Drosophila melanogaster: one gene and its partners. The protein of the gene in region 4 purifies or fractionates together with the protein of the main gene of each other region. This does not show direct contact. Each region holds a gene or a part of one and is shown on either strand. Other genes may lie near its edges.

Region 1 (3,938 bases), on a different chromosome or scaffold from region 4:
GCACATATTCCACAGTTTGATCGCCAGAGTTCCATAAGATTCAGCTCCAGACGCGCCCGTACGCTCGAGTCCCTAGCGTCGTTGTATGAGGTAATGTGCCCTGACCTATCCTTAATTACAGTGTCGTATAAATTGTGCTCAACTCAATCATCCGCTTGGCGCACCTAGGCCACCCTAGTAGCCCTGTTAGATCTCTGCCTGAATACCCAAACATTGCTTAACACATTCGCTTTCTATGACTTTTCCGAACAGGACGACGACCTTGTCGCCACCGTCGAGGAGAGCAGCTTCGTCCAGCGCAAGTATGAGAAATACTTCGACATGGTCATCGTGAACGAGGACTTCGATGAGACGTTCCGCCAGGTGGTGGAAACGCTGGATCAGATGAGCCACGAGGAGCAGTGGGTGCCTGTCAACTGGATCTACTAGAATCCCATGACCCTTTGCAATTGCGCCTTTATGCATATTGAAGAATATATACTATAAAAATCGAATGCCTATCATCACAATTAAAGGGATAATTCCAGTAATTGAAGCTTAAACTCGCAACACAATACAAATTTAGCGAAGAGCATTTAAAACGCTAGCGATTTCAATATTTATTGTTGATTAGACGTGTTTTGCTTGAGGAATGTAATGCGTTTTATTAACTATGTTTATCTCAATTACTGTCATTTTCCTCTTTAAATATAAATCATGTATATATGCAATGTTTGTATAAGTTGAAATGCGCCCTCCGTTTACAATTCAGTTTTCCTTAAGTATAAGCCTAATTTTACGAAACGAATTCGTCCATTTTACCATCTCTTGTTTTATTTTTACAAATAATGAATGATGTCAACGCATATCTCTTCAGTTTATTATTTTAACGAATCTCCTCAGTACAACAACCTTCTGCCAATATTTTCGTGTAGTTTTTAGATTTGTTTGAATAAAATGTGTAAGTTTAACGAACTAGTTAAATGTATTGATGTGGAGTTAAACAAACGAAATACGAATAAATTTGGCTCAAAGAAATGGTGAATTTTGTTTACCTCTAGCTGGTCGCACCAAAATATATTTTATTTGCTGATCTTAAGAGTGTCTTAGAGTTTAAAGGCTGAATGCCAGGCATTTAGCAACTTCATTTGCAGGGACTTATTGGTAAATTCCCAGAGATTTCTCCACCACAGCGTGGGGCTGACGCATATGCTCGCTGTTCTCGGGCAAGTTCATGAAGTCCTCGAAGCCAATGGAATCACAGCGGCCAGTCAGGACATCGTCCATGAAGTTGCTGCAATATAAAGGAAAGAATTAATATAGAAGATAAGTAGTCATTGCTGGGTTTTCGGTAATAATGGTACTATGGGAATCACAGGTATACTTGGTATACACGTATGTATGTATGTACGTATATAGGTATCCATTATTAGGCAAGAAGTTTAGATTTTCTAGATTGTAGGATATCTCAGGTTTCTCCGGGATTCTTATAATGTGGAAACAGAAGATTTCTGAATGCTTCCGCCCTTGCAGAGATTCCTGTCCAGACTGAGAAGCTCCCAGACCGGGCTAGATGCTCACCTGGACGAAAGGAAGGGCAGGCGGCCCACCTGACGTGCGGCGAAGCGCTCCATGCCCATCTTGAGGGGCACGCCGAGGCCCTCGTGGTTGCGCAGCATCTGCATGTTGCGGTTGTACTGGTGCTCGTTGTAGTTCAGCTCCGAGTCGCGCAGCCGGTGGACGTGGGCCAGTTGGTTCAGGCAGTTGGCCTCGGTGGGCATTCCCACACGGCCGGTGGCGTTCAGCACGGACACCTCGGCGGGCTGGACTTTCAGTGATGGCTGATACTGTATTGCGAGGGGTTTTCGTTTCGTTAGCGGCTCTACTAAATGCACTCGGCGAGGTACTTACCATATTCGTAAGCGCTTTTAGAATAAAAATGCGGCGAATTATAATTGTTTCTTGAATGACAAACAAATTCCGTGCGAATTAGAGCTGGTACTTGTGTCGATGCCTACTCGATATCGACGATAATTGACAAGATAATCGAATAGAAAGCAACTTATCGACTAGAATAGAATCCAGTAGTGTAGAAACCAGACTGGCAACTCTTTACATGTGTAGAAATCAGGATGGCAGCTCCAGACAATGCTAACATGGATTCAATCCATTTTGACCCACATAAATTTTAGCTCGGTTTCAAACCATTGCAGGGTACAAAAATGCGGCATGTCCGACAAGTGAATTTCGATTTGAAATTATGAACTCCAAATTTTCCAATCCAATTTGATTATTTAAACAAAATATTTCTATATATATAGCAACAACGCAGCACTATTTGAAATACACTTTAATTGTAATCGTGTTGATGGGTAAAAGTCGGTCTATGCAAATTGGCGTTATTAGCGCACTTAACACTTCGGTCAAGTGACGAACTTGAGTGTTGTGATTAATTACACCCTCGCTGGCCAGCAACGCACATCCGAAATATACAAACGTATCGATCTCGGCCGCAGCTCTAATCAATTCGATCAACAAAAGAACTGAATCCGCTGGCTGGCTGGCCGGGGTTTTGTTTTTCTTTTCACCCACACCTTTTAGCGGCTTTTATGATCTTCTGCTCCACAGAGACGCGATTCATTTGCATCGAGTGACAAACGCGAACGAATGCGAATGCGAGGAGACCAAATCACACGACAGGGCTTAATTAGTGCATGGTCACTAATAAAGATTCGGCCAGTGGATGTTGTGTTAATCAAACTCCCGCACACAATAGCCCAAACTGTCTCCGGCCAACCGATCCGATCCTATCCAATCTGAACTTGAAAATCCAAATGGAAACATCAACCGGATGGATGGATCTTCACCTTCACTTTAGACTAAAAGGTAGTACGTAAATTATGATTTATGCCCATTTACTGAATTTTACAGTGCGAAAAAAGCGAACTACATTCCTGCTTTGTAATTTACAACTTTAATCATTTTAATATTGGTATGGATGAGCATTGCAATACAAAGTCAAATAGTTTATAGCATGTATAGCTATAGTATTGATACAAAAACGTATTAGATAATTTAAAAGATCAGCCCTATTTTTAATGAATGAATTCTATATTAAGAAACTGACAAAATGATAAGTAAATTTAATCAGCAGACAATTCGAGAATTTACAATAAGAATATCGCAACGGGCATATTTATGGCGTCGAGTTGATAAAAATATCGTTAGTTTTTATTACTTTGAGATGCGATTCTTTCGGATGCAACTTATGGTGATTTAATCTATAAGTCTATAAATAAATTAAGTTAGAATAAACACAAATTACTCGCATCGATTTTAGCTTACTAGCATCGTTCCTTTGACTTATTTGTTAATACAATCATTTCAGTTCCCTGTGAATTTTGCCGCTTGAAGAGTTCAAAAGAACTCATACCACGATTGATTTATAACGTTTACTTTCTGTTTTACTGCCTTTGACCAATTAATACACAGTAGACCAGTACGAGGCGAATCAACCAATTCAGTCAGTCCAATATATGGCCATAAGGATGGCCAAGAGCCAACTATGTATGGTCGAATGGAGATGGAGATCTCAGGGCGAGAAGATCGATATGTAAAAGTCAAATAAAAATATAACGTCGAGAATTAACATTTTTTCACAGCAATAAATGCATAAAAGTCGAAGATGTGTATTCAAAAAAGAGAAGAGTCGTGGGTTCAACTAGGGGACTCTTCAGATGAGGGAATTCCTTTTAAAACAGCTTGATTGGGCTGATATTTCTCTTCTATTTTATACGCACTCAGAGAAATTAATGGGTAAAAGCAAGAGATTCCAAAAGATGATCAATAGATGATTTCTTTAAATTGAAGTACAAAATAAAAGGATGTTTCTTCAGCTTTTCAAGAGTTATTTAAAGGCATCCGAGGGCACGATTTCCCTCAGTGCACCAGTACACCCA
Region 2 (3,029 bases), on a different chromosome or scaffold from region 4:
CACCATCCTGAAGGCCGCCAACGTCGAGGTGGAGCCCTACTGGCCCGGTCTCTTCGCCAAGGCCCTGGAGGGCATCAACGTCAAGGACCTGATCACCAACATCGGATCCGGAGTTGGTGCCGCTCCCGCCGGTGGTGCTGCCCCTGCTGCCGCCGCCGCTGCTCCAGCCGCCGAGTCCAAGAAGGAGGAGAAGAAGAAGGAGGAGGAGTCCGACCAGTCTGACGACGACATGGGCTTCGGTCTGTTCGACTAAATCCTCTAGAGAACTTCTCGACAACCGGACATCCGTTGTGTTTGTGCTGTAATCCTCGAGAGGTGGACGTGTACCCGTTTCCCGACCTGCGTACACGTTTTTAATGTACAAATGTGAGGAAATATAGAAGACGTTTGCTAAAAAATTATCGAGACTCATTCCTTTCACAACGGTGCAGAATTATTATGGTTTACTATGTTATTGGTCATTCCACTGCCTTTTTGTGAGTAGATTCTATTTTGGGTTTTTAAGCACATGAAAGAGGTTGCAGTAGAATGGCCAATAATTTGGTCAGCCGGGTTGAAGGCTACGATTAAAATGTTCAAGGTTTTTTTTACAAAAACTGTCACAGCTAATATTTATTGGATATAACGAACGCAGACTAGAATAACGTCTCCTCGAGGACCTTAGCTAGGGCACGAAGATTGGGTCCGTCGATTTTCTTGAGACCCAAGCCCACCACGAACTCCGTCGGGCACTTGTGGAGTCCGGTTCTGTTGACCAGAAACTGTATGGCGCTGCGAGTCTCGTCGGTGTCCAAGCCCAAGCAGCAGTTCATCGTGATTGGCACCGATACGTGGAACTCCGGATTGTCCACGGGTCCGTGCAAATAGGGAACCACTCTTTCGTCCTTTTTGACATCGAAGTGCACGTTGTAGATGCCGGGAATCTTGCCGAGCTGCGTTATGACTAAGAACCACTTCTTGGCAAAGCAGTGGAACACTATCTCCGTGGGAACGCCGTTCACGTCCGCTGAGAACTGCCTGTCGAATCCGATTTGTCGAGGTTTGTTTGCTGTGTGGTTCATTTTTTGAGAGAATTTAAAAGCGTTTAACAATGTTGATATTGTTTACGATGAGACAGCATGAAAAAACGATGAAAAATACATCGATGTTTTATCGATAGTCATTATGCATTGATGTGCTAATATGAAGTGTGGCCGAATGGTTCCGAGTTTCGTGACTCCCGAAGCACGCAGTTCAAACGTTTGCACTGATTTCCTGAGAGCGCCATCATGCAGAAAATAATTGAACTACTGACACAAGATTTCGATTACGCGATTGATATTAAATGTTCAACCATTTGTAAATATTTTATATATAAAATAAGCCAGAAATAACAACATGTACGTGCTTACTGAACTAACTTTTACAATTTTAATTTAATTAATTAATTAATAAACTTTGGTAACCAAGGCTACCTTTGTTAGATCCATAAATAAAATCCAAGTAAAAGCAAAAATGTCCACCTGCATTTGCTTGGGCCCCAAAAGAGCGGGCAAAACGCACCTTTTGAAAGCTTTACAGGATCCGGAATCCATCGATGAGACCACGTTTTCCATGCCCACCATTGGCACTGGGATTTACCGAATCCATTTCCCAACAAAATCGCCAAATGGGGATAAAAATAAGCCTCCTCCCTCAGAAGCTCCAGCTAACATTCCTCATGGCGGTAAAAATCTGCCCAAGTCCATACAGATCCTGGAAATTGGAGGGAGTATGGCCCCCTTGTGGAGGCAGTATTTCGAGGATGTCAAGAAGCTGATCTACGTCGTGGACACCTCTAATCTCTGTCAGATTTCAGCCGCCGGCGTTCTTTTCTATTCAATCCTCACCGAGCCGCGTCTGCAGTAAGTAAGGTGGAAATGAACTGAAAGCTCATGCACTAGTTAAATTCGTCGCAGGCATAATACTAAGATCCTGTTGGTACTGGCCAAAATGGATTACTCCTACCGCCAGATGCGAAACGAGGCTCTGCTCATGCTGCAGATGCAGAAGTTGCAAAAACAGATCCGCCAGCAGGTGACCATCGTGGAGGCCAGCGCCGTCACCAAAGTGGGCTTAGACCCCATCTACGATTGGCTGCAGAGACCCTAAATAATAAAATATCATAGAAATTAGTGTGTCACTCACATTAATGATACACCAGTGAAAATATTAAACTCTATTCCGATGCATTTTTATGTGGCTTTAGTTAATAAAATTAAACGTGAACACTGCCTAATCTATCAGATAGAAGTTAATATCTAGATTAAGACCTAAACTTCCCAAAAAGCAGAAAGCAGAGGAGATGCAGATGCATCCCGGAAGACAAACCAAGAAACAAGTTGGTTATATTAAGCTCAAATTAACATTAAAAATTTAGGTAGATTTACAGAGAGGTATAGTCAGGGTGTCCCAACAGGGTGACTCCCCAGGGACCGGAACAGGCGCACTGCAAAGTAATTAATGTTTTGGCCGACCAGGTATCCATGGTAATCGCCTCGTACCCCGAACCTAACCAATTCAAACTATACCGGAAGACCCTTTCCATATGGCGAGTATACACCTATACCTGCTAGAGGCCAGTCAGTCGATACCAGCAACCGCAGCAGCGGAGGAATCTACAAATTAGGTCCCGTGCAAAAGAGGTAGGCGGGAAGTACAAATTATGGGCATAGAAAAATTAGATGGCATGGAGACGAGCCAAGAACTAAGACCAGATTCGAACCCAGAGGAGTCCAGAGGAGCGGAGGAGGGAGATGAACCGCAGGAAGCAGCAGCCGCATTCCTGATGCCCCTGGATTTTCGGGCTTGGAGGGGCAGAGGAATGACACGCATCCGGTTTTAAAATTCCAGTGATCGAAGCGCAGCAGAAGAGCCCGAAAAAAGGAACTCAGCCGAGGAATTCAAACACTTGAATCGGACACAGATACACAATATACTGAACGAAAAGAAGAAGTTTTTTGAGAATCGAAATATTTATTTATTATATGAATATGAATATGATTTCCAAA
Region 3 (3,314 bases), on a different chromosome or scaffold from region 4:
CTCCTCCTTGAAGGCTTCGTTCTGATACCACTGGGTGAGGCATTCCTTCAGGGCTGAGTTCTGTTTCCGACAGGTGGCCACCATCAGTATACTGCTGGCCTTGCAGCACTCCTGGAAGTCGGCCACCTCCTTTGAGCAGAACTCCGTCTTGGCACGATCGCGCATTATCTTGGGTATCAGCACTTCGCGCTCCACCTTGCGCAACCTAGTATCATTTGGATCGCCTAGCAAGGGCAGTGTCAGTTGGTGGTCATATTCGATTATTCTGAGGACTCACCCAGTCCATGGGGATTGTGGGGATCCACGGCTGGCTGTTGTTCAAGGCTCATATTGTGTTAAAAATACTATTTATTTTGTATAACAACTTTTAGAGTGACTGCCACCGGTGCGATGAAAAATACTAGGGATATAAAAATACCACGAGTATACTAAAATTAGATTCATTTTTAAGATATAAAATATAATTTTATAATTCGATTTCTTGAATATTGAAATTACTTAATGATCGTCTAGAACACAAAATTTGCCCGACTGATCGCTAATTCAATAATATATTTTTTTTTAAACCGATAAACCACCTTCGTGTATTAAATTAGCCAAGAATCCAGACGCATTTTATTACAAAACTGCATTTTAAATGCTTAAATCAAAACCTAACTAAGCGGCCAGGCTAGCAGCGCTGATTGGCTCCAAATCTCGCACACCATCCTTGTCCACGACGGCGACGGTGAAGTTCTTGAGGTTGACGACCAGGCGCTTCTGGATTTCGGCAATGCACTTCTTGAAGACGTCGTAGGCCTCCGCCTGGGTTATATTGGGGTGCCAGTATCGGTCATAGATGCTGGATGCGAAGATCGCACCATAGCCATGACCGGCGTAATTCACAGGCAGTGCATTGGCCAAATAGTCAATGAAGGTGAGCTCCGGACCCGCGTTGGGATCGTAGCTTTGGGGAGAAGAAACAGATTAGGCACGGAAAGCAAATGGATTGACTGATCTCATGATCCTTACCCGGCCACAAACATGAACACTTGGTAGGGCGTGCGACTGCGAAGATATTCGGCCAGATTCTTGCGAGTAAAATGAGCCGATTCACGTGGACTTAAATCGTAGCCATTGCGCATCTTGTACAACGCTATGTTCTTCGAAATGAATTCGGTAAATTGCTCCGTGTCGCCCGATTCGCCGACGGTTGAAATAAGCAGACTATCCGACACCTTGTGGATTTTGTTCTGATCTGCAATGGAAATTCAAGGAGACTAACGAAATGAGTCCCAAGCCGCCAAGAAAATGAGCACCATTTGGGCTTACCCTCTTTCATCACTATAATGGATCGGGCGTGGGTGGTGTCCGCCGCCAGCATCACGAAGTCAGGGCCCTTGATACCCAGTAGAGTCTCCATGTTGCAATTATATTTATACTTTCGGGGTTTTTTAACGAAAATTACAAGTTGTTTGTGAGTTGCCGAATGCGATGACAAGCAAGTTAAATGCAGAGTGGCCGTATGCTGGGCGGCTAAAAATACCGCTATTCTGAAAAGATACTAATAAATATAAGCTAACACATATTTATAATTTTATTTTATATTTATTATTTATCATTTTAAATTAACTTAATTATACTTAATTTTCAATTATACCTAATTGGTATGATATTCAAATCTTATAAGTTTACTTGCTTACTAAAATTAAAATTAAAATTATTTCAATGTTTCAACTTTGTCTAAATAAAAAAAAACTTTATTTTTAATAAACCCATTTTTGTTTCCTTTAATATGAATATGAATATTTACATATACATAAAAATTATGTTATATAAATTATAATTATAAATTAAATTATTAATAAAATTGAATATCTTAGTTATATATTATTTTTAATTTTAATCGCAGTTAATCAACACTTGTTGAGTGCCCGGTTATAACTTGGCCACACTGTTCCCTTGTTATCATTTCATTTCACAATTAGTTTACGGAATTCGAACTATTGAAACTAAGAGCCATGCAGGCACCACCTCCGGAACACTGTCCTGGCGTCGAGAGCGAGGAGGCGGGCAAGGGAAGTGCCTGTTCGGGCTGCCCCAACCAAGGACTCTGCAGCGATCCCAACAAGAAACTCGAAGATCCCGGCAAGGCTTTGGTGGTCGAATCCATGAAAGATGTCAAACACAAGCTGCTGATCCTGTCCGGGAAAGGCGGCGTTGGCAAGAGCACGGTAACCAGCTTGCTAACCCGCTATCTGGCCAGAAGTAATCCGGACAGTAACTTCGGCGTGCTTGATATCGACATTTGCGGTCCATCGCAACCGCGTTTGATGGGCGCCCTGGGGGAGAGTGTCCACCAGTCTGGGTACGGCTGGTCACCTGTGGGAATCGAAGACAACGTGTGTCTGATGTCCATCGGATTTCTTCTGGGCTCTGTGGACGATGCCATTATTTGGCGAGGACCCAAGAAGAATGGCATGATCAGGCAGTTTCTGAGCGAGGTGGACTGGGGAAATCTGGATCTCCTGCTACTGGACACACCACCTGGAACTTCCGATGAGCACCTGTCTGTGGTTTCGTACCTGAAAGACGACGCCAACCCGGAGTCCCTGCGCGCCGTGATGGTGACCACTCCACAGGAGGTGTCTCTGCTGGACGTGCGCAAGGAGATCAACTTTTGTAAAAAGCAAAATATCCCCATTGTGGGCGTGATCGAGAATATGAGCAGTTTCCGTTGCGGCCATTGTGGAAATAGCTCCGAAATCTTTCCAGCCAAAACCGGAGGAGCCGCTGCCATGTGCGCCGAAATGGGAATCCCGCTGTTGGGCTCCCTGCCTCTGGATCAACAGATATCCAAAGCCTGCGATTCTGGCGAGGATTTAACTGAGTTTAAGAATGTCACCACTGAGGCGCTGGAAGGAATTTGCTCAAAGATTATGGCCAGCTTTAGTTAAGAATAAGTTAAAGACCACTCAGTTTTTAAATAAAAAAAAAGATGCCTGTACAATTTTATGTAACATTTATTATTAAGCATTGAAAGGATAATACCAATTGGAAATACCGATTCACCTGAGGTCATCAAATTACGTCTCGGTCTTTACCAGAAATTAGATTACCAGGCAGTTTACAACATGCCCCTTTACAGGATAAGAAAACATTCTACAATATTGAAGTAGGTTGGAGTTAAACATTAAGTATGGCTGGGGAAGATGGCGGGCTTGCTAGGGACACATCCGTGGTTACTCTTCCCGTGGCATCTGACGGTTGAGCAGCAACCTCAGTGGCGGCCTGTTTCAGATTTTGCGCGAGTATTGTGTCCCTCACCGTACTTT
Region 4 (6,415 bases):
AAAATAATATGTTAATTTGCGCTATGATCTGCATCTTCATAAGCAGTAGGAGGGCAAATAGTGAAGCACTGATTTCAACACGGTATCTCTAGGCCGACGCACCGTTGAAGTGCACTTGCTTTTCAGTGCTTGTCCACGGATAATAACAGTGATTTATATAGTGTTTGTATTTGTCCCTTCTTTGCAACGAAAGTGGTTGGAACCAGCCATAAAAGTTATAAACATATTGATCATTTACTTGTTGAATAATTGTTTGCAAATATCAAGTTCCCTTGGCAACGCACATGGGCATTTAGCTTAAAAACATATGATTTCCAAAGATCATTTTTTAACTGCATATACGATCATATGCTTATATTTATAATAATTGAATACCAACCCGATTCGATTGCAATTAACCATCTTAAAATCCAAACATAAGTTTACCTTGAGGCCACGGTGCACCAATCCCCTTTAAAAAACGGCCATGGTAGAGAGCGCTTCTACAAATTCAGAGAGACTGTGGGCAATTGCCGAGCGTTGTGAAATCACTTATTTATGTTTGAGAGGCGGATCTTTCGGCGGGTGGCGAAACAATCTTCTTGATCGAGTTCTAAGGAGATAAAAAATAGGTTGGCGACTACCACCATAAACCAAAGTAGACATTATTTACATCTAATATGATGACCATTTATTGTGTTATAATTAGGGATTAGCATTTCGTGTTCTTGCCGATTAGTTGTTCTCATGAAACGTAAGCAAGGTTGAAAATCGAACAGGATTCACTTAGATAATGACAAACAGCATGCCCATTTAGTCCTCGATGTACTCAAAGGGCTCTGGGGGCTCCGGCTCCTTTTCCTCGTCGTTCATCGGTCCAAATGCGGCAACTGGCTCAACGAGCTCCTGGTCCTCTGCTTTGCCAGTGTGCTGGAATACAATAATTCCACCGATAGTGACATCCTTCAGCGGCTCATACGACTGGCCATCAATAACGCTAAGGACCTTCAGTTGCTGGCGAAGAACGCGGGCGGGATTCTGCAGGATTTCGGAGGTCGGCTCTGGCTCCTTCTTCTCCTTCTTGTCCTTCTCCTTATCCTTATCCTTTTCGCTGCTGGTGCCAGCTGCCTCCTTTTCCTTATCCTCTTCCTTTTTCTTTTCCTTCTCATCCTTCTTCTTGGGTTTCTCATCCGTTACCATCTTCTCATCGGCCTTGGCTTCTTCGTCCTTCTTGACAGCAGCACCCTCCTTGCTGTCCTCGTCCACATCCATCTTCTCATCCTCTTTTTTGTCGGCATTCTCGCGTCTCTTCTGGCGGGCGGCAATGGACAGAACTGCGGTGGCCACCTTCTCGCGCTCCTCGCTCTTCTTCTCCTCCAGTGGGGCGGGATATGCGTATAACGAGGGCTTGGCCGCCGACTTGTACTCCATCTTGGGCATTTTCAGATCGGAGTTCAGGCCGATCACACAGGTGGGTGTGAAGGCAAGGGAAAGGGTGTGGGCCAGGGGGAACCAGTACCAGTACTGGGTGAAAGCCAGCATGCCCACCACTGCCTGCAGGTTGGTGTGTCCTGTACGGGACTGCAGGGACAGAGTAGCGTTTCGGCCACCAGCATCAATAATACCTGGAAATAGTCAATGCCTAATTAGAAAGATCTGGAAAGGACGATTACTAATTATAAATCAATTCCTACAAAAATACCTATAGTCGTTCGCTTAGTTAAAAATGGAATATTTATAATTTTGAGTATCTACTAATCTTATCTCGAAGCTTGGCGGGAAAACTACGGAAACCAATGTTTAATAGATGCAAATTAACAAACTAATTAGCTTTTCAATATAATTGCATAAATAACGAAAAGGGATCGTGTTATATTGCTTACCCTGAGCCAAAATGGCACCGTACTTCGCCATCACATCTTCGTGCTTGTTGCTAATGACCTCGGCGTACAGCTGACGGAAGAAGGTGGACTTGGGACAGCTCTGGTCCGTGTGCTGAATCAGGATCATGGCAGAGGCGATCAAAGCTCCCTGGCGCACAAAGTTGACCGGATCGAACTTCACCATTGGCTCCAGCAGGGCAATGGCCTCACGCAAACCTGTGCCGGCACAGGCGATACCAAGAGCCATTGCGGCTCCGTAACGAACGTGCGGGTTGTAGGACTCTGCCAGAAGGCTGACCACAGAGGGACACTGCTCCGGAGAGCGGAACAGGATGAAGCCGATGGCTGTCACAGCAGCACGTCGCACATCATCATTTACGTCGGAGACGGCCACGTGTAGCAGCTTGCGGATGGCCTTGTTGCTACCAGTACCATTGTAGGCCATAGCTATGGTGTACATTCCCGAGCGGCGCAACACAGGATCCTTGTCGGAAGACAGGCTGGTCACCAGGGGGTCGGCCTCCTCCAAACGAGAGAACATTGTGAGGGAGATGCCCACGGCTAGGCCGCGTAGGATCTTCTCGTGCTGCGTCTCCTGCGCATACGACACCATGTCCTCGATGGCCTGGGCGTTCTTGGAGCCCAGCATGACCATACCCATGGCAATGCCCGCCGCCTCTCCGGTAACCGCGTCATCCTGATACAAATTAAACTTCAGCTGCTCATACAGATCCTGGCGATGGGTGCCCATGCCAGCGAGACCTAGTCCCAGGCAGCCGCCATGACGCACATTCTCGTTTTGGGCATCCTTCAGCTGTTGCAGCAGGTAGTCTATAATGTTAGCTCCGTGATTCGCATGGATCAAGCCCAAAGCATAAAGGGCACCACCCTCAGAGTAACCAGAACTTGGACCGGCCTCCTTTGGCAGATAGCTCTGCATGAGAGCCAGGGAATCCTTCTCGTGACCCCGATGAATTACTCCAAGCGAAGCGGTTGCCGTCAGCTTGGCCCAATTCGTGGCCCTGGCCAGCCAGTCGAGGTTGTCGCGCAGGAATTGGTCGGAGGTGGTGCCGCTGTGCATGAAGGCGTTGGCAATAACAGTGGCTGTGTGGCAGATAGACACGCGGACCGCTTCCTTTGTGCCTCGAAGGACCTGCAAATCGGCGTGGTTGCTGCGGATGAGGAATTGGAGCTGTAGGTCGATGGAAACCTCGCCGGAGAGGATCGATATGAGCTTTTCAATGTTCTTCTGATGCAACTTTTCAACCTCGTTAAGGGAATCGATTGTGCGCTCTACTTTATCATCAGCTAGGTGAATAAAATGCGATTTATAAGTATTTTAAGGGACTGGATTAGAAAACCGGGTTTACCTGGCGTCTCCTCTGTGATATCCTCGTCAGACTTGGACTTGTCTCCCTCCGACTTGGCACCATCCTCGGAGGTGGTACCCTGGGGCTTAAATGTGCTGGGGAGGGCGGTTGGGATAGGAGCGGTGTTTTTGAGGTGCTGCAGCACATTGCCCAGAAACTCTTGCGTGGCCGACTCGTACAAATCAAAGGCAATCTGATAGGCCATCAGATTGTTTGTCTCCACCGAGGACCGTGTGAGGTTGTCCAGCATCTCGGCTACGGCGAAGGGGTCCTCCAGGAAGATGAGGCACTGACACATATTCACGTAGTCCGGCACACCCAGATCACGGTACAGACTGACCAGACAGCGCAGCACCTCATTGCGGAAGCCACGGTTCTGGATGAGGGACATGGTCACGTTGTAGGCGTAGGCCAGCATGCCACGCACATCGTCCGACTTCATGATAGCGTCCTTGAAGGTGTCCATGCGACGGGTCTCCAGAGCGATGCCCAGAGCCTGGCGGAACTGGTTGTCGTCCAGACAGCGCTGAATCATCCTGTTCACAATGCCCTCCAGCCGCTCGTCCACGACACTCGCCTCCTTAGGGTTCTCGATGAACTCCACCCGCTGGGCAATGTAGAAGTCGATGCACTTGGCAATGATGGTCTCCGTGTACTCATTGCGGGCATTCACGTCGAACAGATCACCAGCGCCCAGGGCGTACGTCAGAGCGTCCTCGAAGGAGCCCAGGTGATAGAACACCTTGGAGGCCACCATGCCAGCTAGCTTGTTTTCGGGGAAGCTGCGATCCTCGTGCAGCATCTCGATCTTCTCGATGGACTCCGAGATCTCCGGCCAGAACTCATCCACGATGTTGTCCAGCTTTTTGAGGGCGAACACCTTAAGATCCGGCATTGGCTCATCGAGTAGGGAAATTATCCCCGCGGCGGACGTAAGACTCATTTTCCAGCTGCGTTGTTTCCAGTCAAAAATATGTTCTACGGATTTTAAAGTGACGTATGTTCAACTTGGGCTCGAAAACTTTACGTTTGCTATGAAAACAAATCGTTCTTTTGCGTACTAACCAACAATTGCACCGTTTTAATTTTCAGTTTTCTTTTGTGCCGAAAAAATGCTAAATCACTCGGTAAGCAGACAGTGTTGGTAATGGTTGGTTGCTCGATGTCTTGCTATCGATGTGTACCGATGCATCGATATTGTTTGAGCCTCCCTCAGACAATTTAAAAATCGCTGTTAATTTTCTGTATGTTTAAATATGTATTGGACATCAAATTTTAACAAAATTGAAATGAAATGTAATACATTTGGAGCATAGTTTGAAATTAGTTGTGAGTGACCAGGTTGTTCTGTGTTGTGGTACCTTTTTGCCGCCTTCTTACCACCTCCACTTCTGGGCACACTGAGCATCGCATCTACAACAAAAAACGCGCGAAGGTTTGCGCAGAAAACGCAAAACACCGCCGCGACAACATCCTGGAGCAGCGGACCGCATCATACACAGCACAGTAAACAAACGAAAGATAATTGCACAACATGCTCTGCGAGGATCAGCACATGTCCGTGGAGAACACACCGCAGAAAGGCTCCGGCAGCCTGAATTCCTCAGCATCCTCCATTTCGATCGATGTGAAGCCCACCATGCAGAGCTGGGCCCAGGAGGTCCGCGCGGAGTTTGGCCACAGTGACGAGGTAAGTGAAGGTTGGCTGCTACGATCGGGAACACAATTAATTCTCTTGTTTGCACGTGCAGGCCTCCAGTTCCTTGAATAGCAGCGCTGCCAGCTGCGGTTCCTTGGCCAAAAAGGAGACAGCCGACGGTAATCTGGAGTCCAAAGATGGCGAGGGCCGGGAGATGGCATTTGAGTTCCTGGATGGCGTCAACGAGGTAAAGTTCGAGCGCCTGGTCAAGGAGGAGAAGCTAAAAACGCCCTACAAGCGCCGACACTCGTTCACGCCGCCCAGCAACGAGAACAGTCGCTCCAACAGTCCAAACAGCAGCAACTCCTCGGCCAACGGAGATGCAGCTGCGCCCAAAGGCGGCAACAATCCCCATTCGAGGAACTCAAAAAAGTCTGGCAACTTCCGCGCCCACAAGGAGGAGAAACGGGTGCGCCACAACAGCTACACGTCCTCCACCTCATCGTCATCCTCCTACACCGAAGCCGATCCCGCCATCCTAAGTCGCAGGCAGAAGCAAATAGATTACGGAAAGAATACTGCCGCCTACGAGCGCTATGTGGAAATGGTGCCAAAGGACGAGCGGACTCGCGATCATCCGCGCACCCCGAACAAGTATGGAAAGTACAGCCGCCGCGCCTTCGATGGGCTCGTGAAGATCTGGCGCAAAAGCCTCCACATCTATGATCCACCTACACAAGCGCGCGACACGGCCAAGGACAGTAATTCCGACTCGGATTCTGACTAGGATCGAATCTTGTTACCGGGCCGGGCTATGTTTTTCAAATATCGGGGGTTTAACTACTAATTTTTATTTCAAGTACAAAGTTAAAACTATGAATCAAACACGCATCTTCGAGTCACAAGGCCGTGTACGGGGAATTGTTACGCAGATGTTTTGTTGAATAAAATGGCGTCTTACAAGATCCTGGGTTTTCTGTCGTTTGCTACCTGAGGAAGTCCTTGGTGATTCGAAATTTTCCGGACCGCCGGCATTTTTACTGCGCGTGCTGTCCTTGTAATAACGTCTGCTCTTAACTAATTTTGATTTAGGGTAGAGTTATTGTGAAAAGAAAAGACAGGACTCACTTCTTTATTTTATGTTAATTTCTTTTTCTGCATCTTATTCTTATGTTTCTTATACTTGGTTTTAGAATATCGAATCCCATTGATATTTTTTTAAATATACAAACTGGCGAGAAAATAGCTAAAGCAGCACCCCCGTTTGCCAGTTGTTTGTTTTCACTGTGCATGTGCCACTCCAAACCATTTCACGAACTCCTCAAGTGCACACCACCAAACACAGATGTTTCTCAAGCCGTACAGACCCAAGAGCAGTGCTGCCCTCAAGGGATCCGATAGCAAGAAGTTCCGGCAGCGCGTGGAGGCGGCGTTCCCCCATGTGTCCGTGGATCAGCTGGTGCCGGCGAAGGCGGCGGTGACCCAGGTGAAGATCCTAACGCACGGCGGTGTTCAGAGCATGGTCTACTGCGTGGACAAGTTGC

The links.
Region 1: the proteins of Rpn2 (region 4) and Pomp purify together in Drosophila melanogaster (affinity purification with mass spectrometry, with the first as the bait; one large-scale study listed by BioGRID). This does not show direct contact.
Region 2: the proteins of Rpn2 (region 4) and CG11885 purify together in Drosophila melanogaster (affinity purification with mass spectrometry, with the first as the bait; one large-scale study listed by BioGRID). This does not show direct contact.
Region 3: the proteins of Rpn2 (region 4) and Prosbeta4 purify together in Drosophila melanogaster (affinity purification with mass spectrometry, with the first as the bait; one large-scale study listed by BioGRID). This does not show direct contact.

The regions. Positions count from the first base shown.
Region 1 is NT_033779.5:20,785,738-20,789,675, reverse strand, and holds Pomp (pomp), read right to left. Parts: upstream 2,021-3,938; 5' UTR 1,894-2,020; coding exon 1,891-1,893; intron 1,827-1,890; coding exon 1,561-1,826; intron 1,274-1,560; coding exon 1,138-1,273; 3' UTR 578-1,137; downstream 1-577. Other genes in the region: vari (varicose), read left to right, coding at 16-90, 253-429.
Region 2 is NT_033779.5:420,306-423,334, forward strand, and holds CG11885 (uncharacterized protein), read right to left. Parts: upstream 1,146-3,029; 5' UTR 1,062-1,145; coding exon 636-1,061; 3' UTR 590-635; downstream 1-589. Other genes in the region: RpLP1 (ribosomal protein LP1), read left to right, coding at 1-253; CG13692 (uncharacterized protein), read left to right, coding at 1,495-1,883, 1,938-2,130.
Region 3 is NT_033779.5:16,730,632-16,733,945, forward strand, and holds Prosbeta4 (proteasome beta4 subunit), read right to left. Parts: upstream 1,503-3,314; 5' UTR 1,403-1,502; coding exon 1,312-1,402; intron 1,238-1,311; coding exon 1,012-1,237; intron 947-1,011; coding exon 658-946; 3' UTR 549-657; downstream 1-548. Other genes in the region: CG17996 (uncharacterized protein), read right to left, coding at 1-224, 278-329; Nubp1 (NUBP iron-sulfur cluster assembly factor 1), read left to right, coding at 2,001-2,936; glu (gluon), read right to left, coding at 3,166-3,314.
Region 4 is NT_033777.3:29,151,491-29,157,905, reverse strand, and holds Rpn2 (regulatory particle non-ATPase 2), read right to left. Parts: upstream 4,383-6,415; 5' UTR 4,298-4,382; exon of another isoform or gene 4,211-4,297; 5' UTR 4,176-4,210; coding exon 3,233-4,175; intron 3,171-3,232; coding exon 1,863-3,170; intron 1,605-1,862; coding exon 793-1,604; coding exon of another isoform or gene 766-792; 3' UTR 651-765; downstream 1-650. Other genes in the region: Slbp (Stem-loop binding protein), read left to right, coding at 4,767-4,922, 4,984-5,658; eIF2D (eukaryotic translation initiation factor 2D), read left to right, coding at 6,217-6,415. UniProt on the Drosophila melanogaster protein: Acts as a regulatory subunit of the 26S proteasome which is involved in the ATP-dependent degradation of ubiquitinated proteins.